Linked DNA regions of Oreochromis niloticus. The protein of the gene in region 2 interacts with the protein of the main gene of each other region in a pairwise test. Links are inferred from orthologs where the notes say so. Each region holds a gene or a part of one and is shown on either strand. Other genes may lie near its edges. The genes, in order: gpn2 and gpn1.

The links.
Region 1: the proteins of gpn1 (region 2) and gpn2 interact in binary tests that used the Homo sapiens proteins (3 or more experiments, as listed by UniProt). The link is inferred for Oreochromis niloticus from reciprocal best matches to the Homo sapiens genes GPN1 and GPN2.

What each region holds. Positions count from the first base shown.
Region 1 is NC_031976.2:7,480,769-7,487,851, reverse strand, and holds the start of gpn2 (GPN-loop GTPase 2), read left to right. Parts: upstream 1-4,038; 5' UTR 4,039-4,140; exon of another isoform or gene 4,141-4,411; 5' UTR 4,412-4,446; coding exon 4,447-4,866; intron 4,867-5,017; coding exon 5,018-5,174; intron 5,175-5,440; coding exon 5,441-5,601; intron 5,602-7,083. Other genes in the region: gpatch3 (G patch domain-containing protein 3), read left to right, coding at 666-1,126, 1,281-1,455, 2,673-2,732, 2,824-2,945, 3,035-3,162, 3,534-3,726. UniProt on the Homo sapiens protein: Small GTPase required for proper localization of RNA polymerase II and III (RNAPII and RNAPIII). May act at an RNAP assembly step prior to nuclear import.
Region 2 is NC_031965.2:38,255,294-38,263,401, reverse strand, and holds the start of gpn1 (GPN-loop GTPase 1), read left to right. Parts: upstream 1-5,010; 5' UTR 5,011-5,050; coding exon 5,051-5,200; intron 5,201-5,911; coding exon 5,912-6,005; intron 6,006-6,229; coding exon 6,230-6,336; intron 6,337-6,423; coding exon 6,424-6,461; intron 6,462-8,108. Other genes in the region: uncharacterized protein LOC102076855, read left to right, coding at 1,895-3,010. UniProt on the Homo sapiens protein: Small GTPase required for proper nuclear import of RNA polymerase II (RNAPII). May act at an RNAP assembly step prior to nuclear import.

The DNA.
Region 1 (7,083 bases), on a different chromosome or scaffold from region 2:
AGACAACAAGCAGGACTAAAAAAAGGTTAAGATCATGCAGTAGTGGCATATTAAACATATGGGGAGTGAAAAGATGGGAAATGGAGACTATATGCTCAGTGCATCATGAGAAGCCTCAGCCCAGCACCTTGAGCCTGTAGCAAAAAACAATTATGACTATCTTGTTAACTATAAGCTTTATCAATAAGGAAAGTTTAAATCCTAACTTTCAACGTAGAAGAGGTGTCTGTCTCCTGGATCCACTGGGGAGGATCTGACAGCTAAAGGCTCTGACTCCCATTCTACTTTTGGAAACTCCACAAATCATAAGCCTGCTAAGAGTGCTACTGGGATGATATTAAACTTTAAGGTCTTTAAGATAAGATGGCGGCTTTGTATGTGAGGAAAAGGATTTAAAATTCAGTTCTGGTTTTAACAAGAAGCCAGTGAAGAGAAGCCAGTATGGGGAAAAATATGATCTCTCTTTGTGGTCCCTGTCTGCACTCTCGTTGCAGCGTTTTGTTTTGTTTTGGTTTTCACTGAAGGCTTTATGGGAAGTTTTTAGGAGAACCTGACAGTAAGGAATTACAATGACCCAGCCTAGAAGTAAGAGATGCATGAACTTTTCACATCATGTGGTTTTTGTCACTGTTTTTACATGTATTATTATTTTTTCTTTCTTTCAGATGACGGATCTTTCCCCTATAAAACAAAGTATGAACAGCGGCACCGTGTTTCCTTAACGGAGCGATTCACAGAGGCCGACCTCAGAAGCCTCTCCGAACTTAATCCACCTGCTCTGATGCAGAACGGGAATGTGGGCACACCCGTAAAAGTGTTTCTCCAGCTCATCCAAGCCTGCCGCCTGCCTCCACGCCTCATTCGGAAACTGGGGCTCACTTTCCCCAAGACGAGTTCCAACCGTCGCTATGGGAACGTGCCCTTCCAGTACCATGACACTTGCACACTTCCAGCCACAGAACAGACTGTATTAACAGCTGCTGGACATGAAATATCAGGACCAGGTACTTTGCCTGGTTCATCCTTAGGATCGAGGCAGCTGGATGATAACACAGAAACCACTGAGGCTGATGAAGCACAGAAAGAAGACGCAGAGGAAGAGGATGCACAGTCGAATGCTGATGATGTAGGTTCAGTTCATACCTATCAACCAGCTGTCTGTCAGCGTGTCGGATAAATGTATTGGTTTTAGTTTGTGTCGGCTGTCCAATAGGCGCAGCCTAACTAAAACCATCATCCCTTTATTGTAGATGCTAATTTCTTCATGTGATTGATTGTAGGATGATGACTGCTGTGAGGAGTGGGAACGCCACGAGGCTTTGCATGAGGATGTAACAAGCCAGGAGCGAACCAAAGAGAGACTGTTTGAAGAAGAGATTGAGCTGAAGTGGGAAAAAGGAGGCTCAGGTCTGGTGTTCTACACTGATGCTCAGTACTGGCAAGAGGAAGAAGGAGGTAGGCACCAAAAACACTAATTCACTTTGAAGAAAAAGGCTTGCATACTATATAATGTTAATAAACGAGCAATGGGGTGTGCAGGTTATTAAGCAAACTTTAGGTAAAATAGGTGTGGAAAGGCAAACTGAAAGTGTGTGTATGTGTTAATTAGTATAAGAAATCAATTCAGTCGAGATGCTGAAAACAAAATTCTGCCTTACAATAACATACATTAAAAGATAATTGCAAATATACTCACTGGCCGCTTTGTTAGATACACCTCTTCAGTAGCTTGCTAATTCAAAAATTCCATCAGCCAATCACATGCCAGCAACTGAATGAGTTTAGGCATGCGAACGTGGTCAGGACGACCTGCTGAAGCTTAAACCAAGCATCAGAATAGGGAAGAAAGATCGTTTAAGTAACTTGAAACATAGTTGTTGCTATCAGACAGGTTGGCCTGAGTATTTCAGAAACTGCTGATCTTCCGGTGTTTTTCGCACACAACCATCTGTCGGGTTTACAGAAAACGGTCCAAAAACAAGAAAATATAAAGTGAGCAGCAAATTGTGGGTGAAAATGCCTCATTTGGTGTCAGAGGAGAACAACCAGACAACAGTAGTTTAAATAATCACTTGTTACAAAAAGGGGGGGCAGAACAGCATCTCTGAACATGTTAAACCTTGAAGCAGATGGGCTGCAGCAGCAGATGTCCACACTGAGTGCCACTCCTGTCTGCTAAGAACAGGAAACTGATGTTCACAAAAGTTCAACAACTCTGGGCAAAAGAAGACTGGAAAAAAACTTTGGAAACATTGGAACATCAGAATTGGGAGTAACCAACATGAAAGCATGGATTCATCCTGCCTTGTGTCAACGGTTCAGGTTGCTGGGGTGTGGAATATTTTCTTAGCACACTTTGGGATTCTTCGTACCAACTGACCATCATTTAAATGTCACAGTCTACTTTTGTGTTGCTACTCACCATGTAGATCCATCTTTTTGACCACAGTGTACCCATTTCCAGCAGAATACAAGCCATGTGAAAACACTGAGATCATCATAAACTGGTTTCTTGAACATGACAATGAGTTCATTGTACTCAAATGGCAGTCACCAGATCTCAATTCAATAGAGGGATGTGGTGTAACCAGAGATTTACATCATGAACAAATAGCTAACAAAACAAAAGCGACTGTGTGATTACATTCATGTGTGTTTCTCTCGTTTTTCAGACTTTGATGAACAAACTGCCGATGACTGGGATGTTGACATGAGTGTTTACTATGATAAAGGTAACTTTTTTTTTTTTTTTTTTACCCTAATTAACTAAACTGTGCTCTATTAATGCAGGGTCAGATTTCCTTTAACCAAGTCCTTTTACAGATGGAGGTGACATGGATGCTCGAGATTACGTCACAATGCGGTATGAAAAGAGGCTTAGGGAGGGTCATGAAGATGGATCGGGGCACAATCAGTCTATTGGCCGCTTTGAGAGGTTCACTAAGGTGAGGAGGTTGCCATCACATATAACTTAATCTAATCTTTCCTCTTGTTACACGTCAGATAAATGCACATATATTTTTTCTCTGATTAGGGCTTTGGGCGTCGTGTGATGGAGAAACAGGGCTGGAGGGAAGGTGAAGGCCTGGGAAACAGCCAGATTGGAATTTCTGAAGCACTTGAAAATGAGGGGCAACATCCCAACTGTAAAAGAGGCTTTGGGTGAGCATGAGCACAATCAACTAAAGCTGCGTCTACGCTGGAAACAATTCCCTTTTCGACTTTGCTCTGCAGCTGACGGCAGGTCGCTTGTTCCAGGCTCAAGTGTCAATCAATACTGCTATTCTTCACTCTCATTGGTAGTTGTTTCGATCCTATGGAGGAAGTTAAAAGAAGTTAACATAAGTTTACATCCAACCCGCTTCCCATCGCCAGCAGTTATTTCGGCCTTAGTCACTTGAAACTGCAGGATGTCACTCACTTTGCTTCCAGTGTGGATGCTTAACAGCCACCTTCTAATATAATTTTAAGCTTTGGTATGTGAGGCAGGTGATGCTGATGCTGTGGGGGGTTTTTCCTTTTCTTTTTTGCAGGTATCATGGAGAGAAATTGGTCTTACATCCTGTAAAAAAGGCCAGAACAGATTATCATATAACTACAGTGTATGATAAACCCAAAGACATAGACAGAGGCGATACCTTGCTGAGACGGCAGCCGAACACAAGTATGAAGTACAGAGGGTGGCAACCAGGTGGCAGCATTGGCCCACAAAGATCACAAAGATGACTTTAATAAAATTTTATTGAAACCATTTTAACGTCATGGAAGTCTTTTTTTTTTTTTTTAAACACACACCTATATCTGTATCTATAGATATATATATGTATATGTTAAAATCCTTTTTTTCATGTGATTAGTGTCTCTAATTTTTAATCTCACACAAAGTCTAGTTTTCCTATATTAACTTATATACATGTGTATAAATTGTACCAAGCTATTAATCACGGAATAATGTGGTGTGTGAGCAAGGATGAGATGATTTAGAAAAAAATGTAGTCTGAAATTAGTCCTGCACGTCACGCCATGTTAACAACCGGCTTTTATTTTGACACGCCAGTTACGTAACTCGGATGTACTTCCGAGTAGCGTTAGCATGTGTTAGCGACTTCTATACGCATGTAAATATAGCGTCAGCAAACGGTAAATATCAGTCAGTATTGCTGTAATTTACAGTAAAAGTCAGCATTATATTAAGCAACTGCACATATGTTTTGAGTAGACTTACGATTTATCGTACATAAACCTTTAAATAGCTACTTTGTACAAGTCTTGTCTGACCGGAGTGGATGGCAGGTCCAGGTTTATTTAGTGTTTAATGAGTTTTTAATGTAGTTGGTGGAAGAAAAACTGAACTCTTGATACCAAATCCTGTGACCCTGCCAGCCAACACCCCATTTGGTACTCTGCACAGGACATCCTAGCACCATCTAATGCGAGTCTGAAGCCATGTCCAAGCAGACACAAGTGAAGCCCTCCCTGCGTTTCGGTCAGGTGGTTATTGGGCCCCCGGGTTCGGGGAAAACCACCTACTGCCAAGGGATGCAAGAGTTTCTGACTCACCTGGGACGCAAGGTGGTGGTTGTAAACATGGATCCAGCCAATGAAGGGATACCTTATTCATGTGCGGTAGATGTCTCAGAGCTGGTGACTTTGGACGATGTCATGGAAGGTTTAAAGCTGGGGCCCAATGGTGGACTTCTCTACTGCATGGAGTACGTGGAAGCAAATCTGGACTGGTTGGAGGAGAAGCTGAAACAGTACAGTGACTGTTACTTCTTGTTTGACTGTCCTGGACAGGTGGAGCTCTACACCCACCAGAGCTCAGTGAAGAATATCTTCTCACAGCTGGCCAAGTGGAATTTCAGGGTGAGCTTCATCATTATTATCGTATTTCTGCTGAGCCTTCACAGGTACTACCTTACCCACACAGCCATCATGTAGACACAGCTTTAATACAACAAGGTGAATTCATAATAACATCATAAGATAAATTTTGTGCGGATGTCCTCTCTTTTAGCTCACAGCGGTGCACCTCGTGGACTCTCATTACTGTGCTGATCCAGCCAAGTTCATTTCGGTGCTGTGCACCTCGCTGTCTACAATGCTGCATGTCGAGCTTCCCCATGTCAATGTTCTCTCCAAGATGGACTTGATGGAGCAGTATGGCAAGCTGGGTGAGTTAATAAGGGTTTGCTTTAAACACATTTTACAGGCTGTAGTCAGAGATTATCTGATTTGTGCTGGATAAATGTTCTAAGACAGTGAGATTAAGACATTAAAGGTGTTTTTACAAATCACATTTCTTTGTTTCCCTTGTAAGAAAGTAGGATGAAAGAAAAAAAACTATACCGGCATTGTTTGCCAGCTGATTTGTTGAATTTCACAACTGGTTGCTATTCATCATCATCCTTGGTAACATTTGTCTTGTATTCTTTTCCAGCCTTCAACCTTGACTTCTACACAGAGGTCATGGACCTGACCTATCTTCTCGATCACTTGGCTGCAGACCCCTTCTTTAAAAAATTCCGCCACCTAAATGAAAAGTTGGCAGAGGTCGTACAAGATTACAGCCTTGTGTCCTTTGTCCCTCTCAATGTACAGGTACCAGTGCTGCTTTTGGTATTAACTGCAAAAGAAGAGCTGGTAATGTCTGTTTAACTCCCAGTAAATTAGAATATGCTTCGGTGAATTAAATAAATAAAATAAGCTGCTTTCACACATGAAGTTCTGGCAGTTTTGGGAGAATCTAGTGGGGATAATTTCCACAGTTATCCTTTCTCACAGTCTCAGTCTGCTTCAGATGTGCTGGCCTGCCTTATTCACACATGCCAACATCACACGGGCTTTGCACTGGGGAGTTTGTTGGTTAAAGACCAGTGGAATGTGTAATACATTGCTCTAATGTTGAGTGACTAACAGTATCCAACATTTCCTACACTTATATCGAGAACTGACACCACAAGATTTCAGTTTGGGGGTGGCACTGTCGCCTCACAGCAAAAGGGCTCCTGGTTCCAACCTGACGGCCAGCTGGAGCCTTTCAGTGTGCAGTTTGCATGTTCTCTCTGTGCTCGTGTGGGCTCTCTCCGGGTACTCCAGCATCCTCCCACAGTCCAAAGACCTACACGTTAGGTTAAACTGGCTATATAGTGTGAGTGATTGTCTATCTCTGTGTCAGGGACTGGGGACCTGTCCGGGATGTACCCCATCCAGCGATAGCTGGGATACGTGCCAGCCCTGACACAACCCTGAATTGGATTAGCGGTTAAGAAAGTGTGTGGATGGATGGGTTCAGTTTGTGTGGACCACTAAAAGGTCTAGAGAGTACGCATAAAAAACAAATGCCATGTCTTGACAGTGAACTCGACAGATTTTCATTGTTATCACTTAATTAATGTATCTACATCTTTATTTGCATGCTTCTGTTAGATGTTGAGTGCAAAACAAGAGTTCTTTCTTCTGAAGTAGTCATAAAGCATCCATACTGACCAGACGTCATGGTTCATTTGTGTTAGCCCTTTAAGTGTTTCTAAAAGTCACATGCCTCATATTTCATTGTTTGAACCGTTAAATCATAAATCGCTTTTAGCGTTTCAAATTGAAGGTTGGATCAATTTTGTGCAGATGGATTGGGGGAGAGGGCTGTCTGCACTCTGCACTCGTTGCCTGACATCGCTTCTTTATAGAGAGTGATTTGATCCTGTGTGTTCATGGAGACAGGAGTCTAGACCATGTGCCATCACTGCATGTGGCACCAGTGAGTTATACATGAGGCGGGTTGGCACTCATGCTTTGTACATGCTCTTAGTTTAAGCAGCCATTAGTTACCTTGGTTACCCACTTATGGTGCCTAAAGCAGCCAAAAATAAAAGAGCTTTCGACTTTGAGAAAGAGAGAAATGCAAAGCTGCAAAGTGTTAGAGGTCAGCGAAGTTTGAGGATTTATTGCTTTGCATGTGCGTGCTGCTTATGTCATTATGACACCTTATAACACACAAAGAAGAATCTGAGAAATGTGTGCTTACACATTTTCAAAAAGGCTTTGTCATCCTCTTTCTAAAGTGAATCTCACTTGAGGGAGAAA
Region 2 (8,108 bases):
ACGAAAGCTGAATCTTGGTATAAAACAAAGTAATGCACAGAATCCATCTGTAAAGGCAGACACTGCAAACTAGTTTAGGCTGGGAATGCTTTGGAGTCTGTGAAAACAGAGAAAAGGCGCTCACTGCCCTTCAGCCGCGCCTGCAGCAAAGGGAAGATATATCAGTTTGTCACCTCATGGTTTGCAGTTTTTATTTAAAAAATAAAAAACAGATTTCCCATGCATGAAAGGAACTGCAGATATTCAAAAGTCTGTTCAGCTCATTTCTATATCTGTACTTTCATAGTTTCATAGTCCAGCCTCTCAGTTCATCCTTTTGTTTGACCAGTTCGAGCTCCTCCCCTGTAACTTTCCACCAGGCGTCTTCATCAGAGGACAAACAAGCCTCGGCTCTGTGCTGCAAACAGACAAATTTCAGGCCAAACTGAACCCAGTTTTTAATTCACGCTTGTCCACATCTGCTCCGCTCTGAGGACAAACTTTCTGTTTCTGTGTTTTAGAAGAGAAAACGACAGGAGTCGGTGTGGATCTACCAGCTTCACGCTGAGATGAGATCAGCCTTTGTCTTCTCTGAACTTTCTGGCTCACTTTACTCATCAGAACCCCAAAAAGGATAAAGGTACAGGTAGGAAGGCAATTTCTATCAATTTGTTTTGTTTCCAACCAACTACTTGCATTTATTTGTAGTACAATTATTAATATTAATTGACCTTTAAGTATTTGTAGGTAAATATAATTACAGATCACATAAACTGAAACTAATTACTGGGGAACTCTGCCCTTAGTCATGGGTGGTACGATAAAATATGGCCAGTTTCTTTCTGAAACACCTTCCGAAAGAAATGAATGGTGGTTTCAGACTTTTGCACTTACTCGACTAAGAGTACTGGTGTAGTATTTCTTACAGCGGGTTGTAAGTGCCTTTATTTCAGTAAATCTGCATCCTTTACTTCCTTCTTTCTCTTCTCTGAATCGGAAACCGCGTCGAATGTTCTGAATTAGTTTCATGCTGCTGTCATCAGACTGCCTGAGTTTGTAATGGACAAGTTTAAGGCTTCAGTTGAGCGTGCTCACAGAAAGCTTCATTCTCTGCAACGTGCTGTCTGCGTTTGATAAGATATGCTTTGCATGTTTGTACTGTACTGTACTGTTATTTCACCTTTTTCCAAAGGTATTAAAACACACAAAGACACAATAATAATAATAATAAGTAGGAAGTTCCTATAATTTTGTCACTTTGTTCATAATCTGGTCTTTGGAGAGATCTGCTTCTTGGAAAGAAAAGCCACTGGACTTCTTTAAGTTTCATTCGAGAAGCTTCTTTGCTGTAAAACTTAATGGTGGAGAGTCCCTGGTATTTAAACTCTACTGGGAGTTCTCCTTAAGAGGGTCGTTGACCCGTTGATCACGTGTGTGGGGGTCACTGTCAGCAGTGGTTTTGGGTGAAACCTTGCCTCACTCTGTCATGTGACTAATTGAAATCAGATGACACCAAAAAGTGGGCATTAAGGCGTCTGGGAAGGATCTCAAAACTGGATTATAGATGTCAGACAGTCAGTGTCGTAAGCCCCGCCCTCTGTCTAAAGAGGGTCGTTCACTCCATCTGTCTTCTCTGTCCAAAATGTGAATATTGGCATCCTTGAAAGAGTGACCTTTGCCTTTAGATGCAGCTGTACACACATATTAGTCATAATGATGTCATAATATATCAGGCATGATGAAAGTTTTCTGCATGTTAATTGGTCATTTTATACGATGGGAGTTACAGGTTAACTGTGCCAATCTAAACATCAGGAGTGTGTTTCCAAAACTGATCAACATTTATTCTGTTTCTGTGATCAGAGAAACACCTGGAGTGTTAATCAGTCTTCCCTGCACACCGGGAGTGATCATCATGGGGTCCAACAGCTCAAAGCGTCTGAGGCAGAAAACATTTGAAGGTCCCAAAAGACCAGAACAGCGAAAGGAATTTCCTTCAGCTGTGACACTGGTACAACCTCACCCGAGTGAGGAGAAGTTATTCAAGGAGCTGCAACACGTGGGGCTAAACTATGACTGGCTCCTTCAGGGGCACCAAAGTCCTGAAGCTGAAAAAGTACTACAACCGCCGCCAAATATTCCACAAGTTAAAACGCAAGAGGAAAAAGGCACGCAAACAGACAGGGGAAGTCTTCTGAAAGAGTCGCCTGTCGCGACCAGGTCTACGGCAGAAAAGGAGAGCAGCGGCAGAGAACTTGTGGATGGCATAAAGGCTGTATGGACCCCAGGCGAGCTCTACGGTCTTTTAAGAGATGCTCCTGACCCCATCAAAACACCCAGCGACTTCCACAGGTGGCTGCGTTTCACCTGCATGGTGTATCAGCCGTCTCCTGCTGAGCTCAAAAAGTTGCTGAAGTTAGTTTATAACCACAAGTGGGAAAACGTGAAGGAACATTTTGACTGGCCAGGAGTGGATGGCGAGGCCAGGTGGCGACGCACTTGTGATATGACAGCATGGCTCGACACACAGTGCGCCACCTCGATTAAAAACGCAGCCTGGAATGACCCTGAATTTGTGCCCCCTTGGATGATTCTTCAGAAACCTGGAGAGTCGGTGGCAGATTTCACTGAACGTTTCCACCGACTGTGGAATTCCACTATGAGTGAAGCAAATGTTTTTATGTTTAATCTTTACCTTGTAAATAAGTTGCAGCCTCACGTGGCGAAGCTTTTGAAGGATCATGTTGAGTGGGAAACTTTTACTTTTTCCAAGATCAAATTTATTTTAGAAAACATGGAATTAAAGGGCATGTTTAACTCAAAACATCAGCCATCTGTAACTCATCCGGGAGACTGGAGATCAGATCTGTTGGCACTGCCAGAGCCACCTCGAAGCAGCCAGACACACAGGAATAAGAGAAAAGATCGCTGCTTTTACTGCAGCAAGTTTGGACACTGGGCCAGGGAGTGCAGAGCCCGACGTCAGGAGTACTCACTCGAGTACAGTTCACAATGGATTGTACTCGAGTGAGCAACTGAGCTGAACTGAAAAAAGTAACACACAAAGATCTCATTTTCATACAAACATGTCACTAGGGTAGCTTTGTATGATTGACAGTTCAAAATAATCCTCATGGACTGACCACATTATAAAGTTAGCTTTGAGTGAGAGAGGAGCTCAAACAGCTTCTCCTAAACTGGACCCCTGCACCGTGTTTGTGCTGTTGGAGCCTTGTGGAGCATTTTTAATGACATCATGTGACCAATAATATGGCTGCTGTGAGGTCACTGTACTAACAGACCGTCCAAGGAGGCGGAGCTCCAGTTTGAAACTTTAGTAAACGGATGCAATTTGGCAATCAAACAAAGAGTGCTGGATGATACCTCAGCACACTCCTGGTACAAACAAACAATGACTGTGAAAAGAATAATGATGAAGCTTGAAGCTGAAAACAAAGGGTGACATCACAGTCGCTACATCCAGGTTTACTGGGTTTAGGATTTCTGCATCAAGGTCCAGCAGAAGGTAAAGAAGGATTATTTTTAATAGTGACTCATGCAAAGCTGCTCTAGGCTGAAATAATAAAAATATGAAATGATCTGAATAGGTCCATCTCAAGTTCACTTAAGGAAGCACAGGAGCATTTCAGGCAGTGTTTTTAGTTTGACTTCAGTCGAATAAAATATATTTGAAGGCCTAGTTTCAGTTCACTGTGATTGTGAGAGCTCACTGCTGTATTTCACATCCGACTGTGACCTGCAGTGAAACGCTGCAGAACAGATTTTGGAGAGATTTTCTCATTTGGAAAACAAAAAGTCAAGGACAGAACGCTGTCCTTGACAAAATACAGCTGCAGATCACAATGTTCTACAAATAAGAGAAGCAGTGACAGCTCGGTGAGTCTCAATCCTGCTCAGCTGCAGCTCCTGAAAGTGCTCGTCGTCAGATTTCTAAATCTTTCATTTTGTCTTGAATATTTTTGTAGTTTTGGTGGTTTAAACTGGAAAATGAATTTCTGCTTTGCACCATAATCAGAAATCTTTTACACTTTTTGATGTTTTAAATTCTTTTGATAGCTGACTCTGACTTTTGATGTTTTCTTTTTTGTCGTATCCTATTATTTCATATTTTTGGTCTCATTATTTCTCATTCTTAACTTTGATTATTATATTGAATGGCTGGTGCTCTTGTCTGAGATAGACTGTGTTATCAGCTGATTAGTATGAGGCTTTTGCTTATGGATGGTGTATTGTACTTTTAATCTGCACTGAAGCTTTAATTACATGTATGCTCACATTTTTCATTTGCAATAAAATCACTGAAAAGGCTGGCTGTTTCACCTCGTTCACATTCATTCATGTGGCAAAATTTAAAATCTACACATTTAAAATCTGTTTTTATGCAAATGTTTATTACATTGAAGTTTTATCCACTGATGGAGGAGACACGACAGAGGTCTTATTGTGAAAATCATCCACCACACTTCTAGCAATTTTCATTTGACGAAGAATTGACTTCTTTTAGAGTTTTATTCAAGGAAAGTAAAATTTCAGAATATTTCTAGACTATAATGAGAAAAATAAGTATTTATTGGTTTGTAATTTTTTTTAAGGGACTGCTAGTGATACATGTGAAAATTCCAGTTAGGTATATTAAAATTAATTACTTAAAATATTTGCAAAACATAAAACTAGTAAAGTCAATATTCTTTTAAAATACGGAAATATATATAATATAGAAATGATTAGTTATTTATATACTGCGTTACTAATAAATTATAAACTACTAAAATGTACTAAAAGTAATGTTTCTAATCCACAAAACATAAGAAAAAAATACCTATTTTTTAAGACCCGTGAACAGCATAAATATTTTACTCTCTGCAGTCATGTGTTTTTTATTTATATTAATGTATCTGTAAAATATTCTAATAAAGTTTCCTTGTGTTTTCATCATGGTTTATTAAACACACTGCTGCCCTCTGGCTTTCGTTTTGAACACCGCGTTTCCATTTTACGACAGCGGCTGCGTGTGGACGGCAGCCGGTTACTATAATATCTCTCCAGCATCATGGCAGCGGCGGCGGAGTGTCCCGGCACTGATGCGGCTTTCCCGGAGACGGCAGGTGGCAGCGGGGTCCCGGGAGCTGCTGTCGGGGACAAACCCGTGTGTCTCATCGTGCTCGGCATGGCGGGCTCCGGGAAAACCACCTTCGTCCAGGTGAGTCCCGGTCCCTTAGCGGCTAACGCAGTTAGCAGCATGAGTTAGCTTCTTCAGAGAGACCGGAAGGTAAATAAACGAGCAGCGACAGGTACAGGTTTGTGAGCAGGTTTACATCAGAGGAGGAGGAAGAGCTTTTTTTTTTATTATTTAATTCCAGCTAAAACTCAAGTACCAACCAGCTTTCTGTGGCACACCGAGGACCACACGAAGCCCCCAAACTGCGCACAAACCCATTGGCATCAAATAAAATCAGTTTGATTTCAGTCAGGTAGGAGAGGCAGCAGAAGGTTAGTTATCCTGCAACATGAAACAGCCTTTAATAAAATAACTTAGAGAAAGCATAAAAGCTCAATAGAATATAAGTAAGGTCAGCATGGAATGGATTACATAGTATTAGCACATTTAAATAGAAAACAATAGAATATAGAGTAGAGTCAAACTTTACTAAATTGTATTTAGCCCAATAAATGTTAAAATAGCTTACTAAAGTCACTAAATTAAACCAATGACACCCTGTGACTGATGTTTGCTTCTCCTTCAGTCTGAGCTCAGAGATGAAGATTTTCTAAGCGGCTGATGTTAACATCTTCAGCTTCCCTCCTCTTCCTCAGAACATTTCCTCCGTATAAACAGTGTTTCCTGTTTGTCTGCCTGTTATGAAGTGAGCCGCAGTCACGAGTAATCTGAGTACTTTTCTGTTTCCTGCAGAGGCTGACGGCTCACCTGCATTCCCTCAAAGCTCCTCCATATGTCATCAACCTGGACCCCGCCGTCCACGAGGTCCCTTTCCCTGCAAACATTGGTAGGATCCATCTGTTTGTTGGATGCTACTTATTTAAACAAGAACTTAAAACTCAATGTGGGATGCTGGATTTGCAGAAGTGCGTTTAATCTTTGCATTACACATCACAGCGAAAGCAAATAACCTTCACGTGTTTTTGTGATTCAAACACAGCCGGAAAGACTTTTAGCTCCACGTCATCTTCAGCGTCTGTTAGTTTTCTCTGTCTGTCCTCTTGCTTTCAGACATCAGGGACACGGTGAACTACAAGGAGGTGATGAAGCAGTACGGCCTCGGACCCAACGGTGGCATCGTGACGTCACTCAACCTGTTCGCCACCCGTTTTGATCAGGTGACTCACAAATCTCAACATCTCGCGGTACGAATGTCCATACCAGACAAACCATTCGGATCCTGACTTTGTGTTTGTTTTCTTCAGGTGATGCAGTTCATCGAGAAGAAGCGACAGAATCACCGGTCAGTATGTAGCTGCTTATTTGCAGCTAAATGCAGTTAATGTTTTAAGGACTGTGAGGGACCCCAGCGGCTTCCTGTGTGTGGTTGTGATGCACAACACTCCAAAATATTAAAGGAACACCTTAAAACACAGCAGATCTCCATCCATCCATCCATCTTCATCCGCAGATCTCAATGAGGGTAATAGGTTAGGAATAATGGAAATTGAAATGATCCGCCTGCACTGGGCTAAAGTCAAACACACCCCAAAAATCAAAGTAAAAAAATCGATGCAGGCCCGTTTTGTTCAGATTTCATTGCAGGAGTTCAGAAATGATTCTCGGGAGTTTGAATCCCCCCCACGTGTTTATATGAATGCCTGACGGCGCCGGGGTGATGTCCTAAGATAAGATAAGATAACCTTTATTAGTCCCACACGTGGGAAATTTGTTTTGTCACAGCAGGAAGTGGACAGTGCAAAAGTTACGAAGCAAAAATTAGAATACAATAAGAATAAATACTGTACACAACTGTACATAATAGAATAAAATAAAATACTGTATACAGTAGAATAAGATAAAATAGAATAAAATATACAATAAGATAAAAATAGAATACAAATGCTATATACAACTGAGTAAAAATACAACGATGCCAGAAAAGATTATTGCACTTAGTGTTATTGCACATGTGTGGATGTGTGTGTTTGATCAGTTGAAGTCTTTGTTGTGGAGTCTGACAGCAGTGGGGAGGAAAGACCTGCGAAATCTCTCCATCCCACACCGTGGGTGCCGCAGCCACTGAAGGAGCTGCTCAGTGCTGTCACAGTCTCCTGCATGGGGTGGGAGATGTTGTCCAACAGGGATGACAGCTTAGCCACCATTCTCCTGTCACTCACCACCTCCACTGGGTCCAGAGGGCATCCTAGAACAGAGCTGGCCCTGCGGATCAGCCTGTTCAGTCTCTTCCTGTCCCCAGCAGAGATGCTGCCGCCCCAGCAGACCACACCATAGAAGATGGCTGAGGCCACCACAGAGTCATAGAAGGTCTTCAGGAGTGGGCCCTCCACTCCAAACGACCTGAGTCTCCGCAGCAGGTACAGCCTGCTCTGCCCTTTCCTGTAGAGGGCGTCTGAGTTATGAGTCCAGTCCAGTTTGTTGTTCAGATGAACACCAAGGTACCTGTAGCTGTCCACAGCCTCGATGTCCATACCTTGGATGTTCAGTGGTTGCAGTGGAGGATGTTTGTGCCTGCGGAAGTCTACCACCAGCTCCTTGGTTTTACTGGCATTGATCTGGAGGTAGTTCTGCTGGCACCAGTCCACAAAGTCCTGAGTCAGTCCTCTGTACTCCTTGTCGTCCCCATCAGTGATGAGGCCGACTATTGCAGAGTCATCAGAGAACTTCTGCAGGAAGCACTGGGTGGAGTTGTGGGAGAAGTCTGCAGTGTAGATGGTGAAGAGGAACGGAGCCAGAACCGTTCCCTGTGGGGCCCCCGTACTGCAGACGACCCTGTCCGACACACAGCCCTGAGTCCTCACATACTGTGGTCGGTCGGTGAGGTAGTCCAGAATCCAGGTAGTGAGGTGATGGTCCACTCCAGAGTTCTCCAGCTTGTCCTTCAGAACCGAGGGAAGAATAGTGTTAAAGGCACTGGAGAAATCAAAGA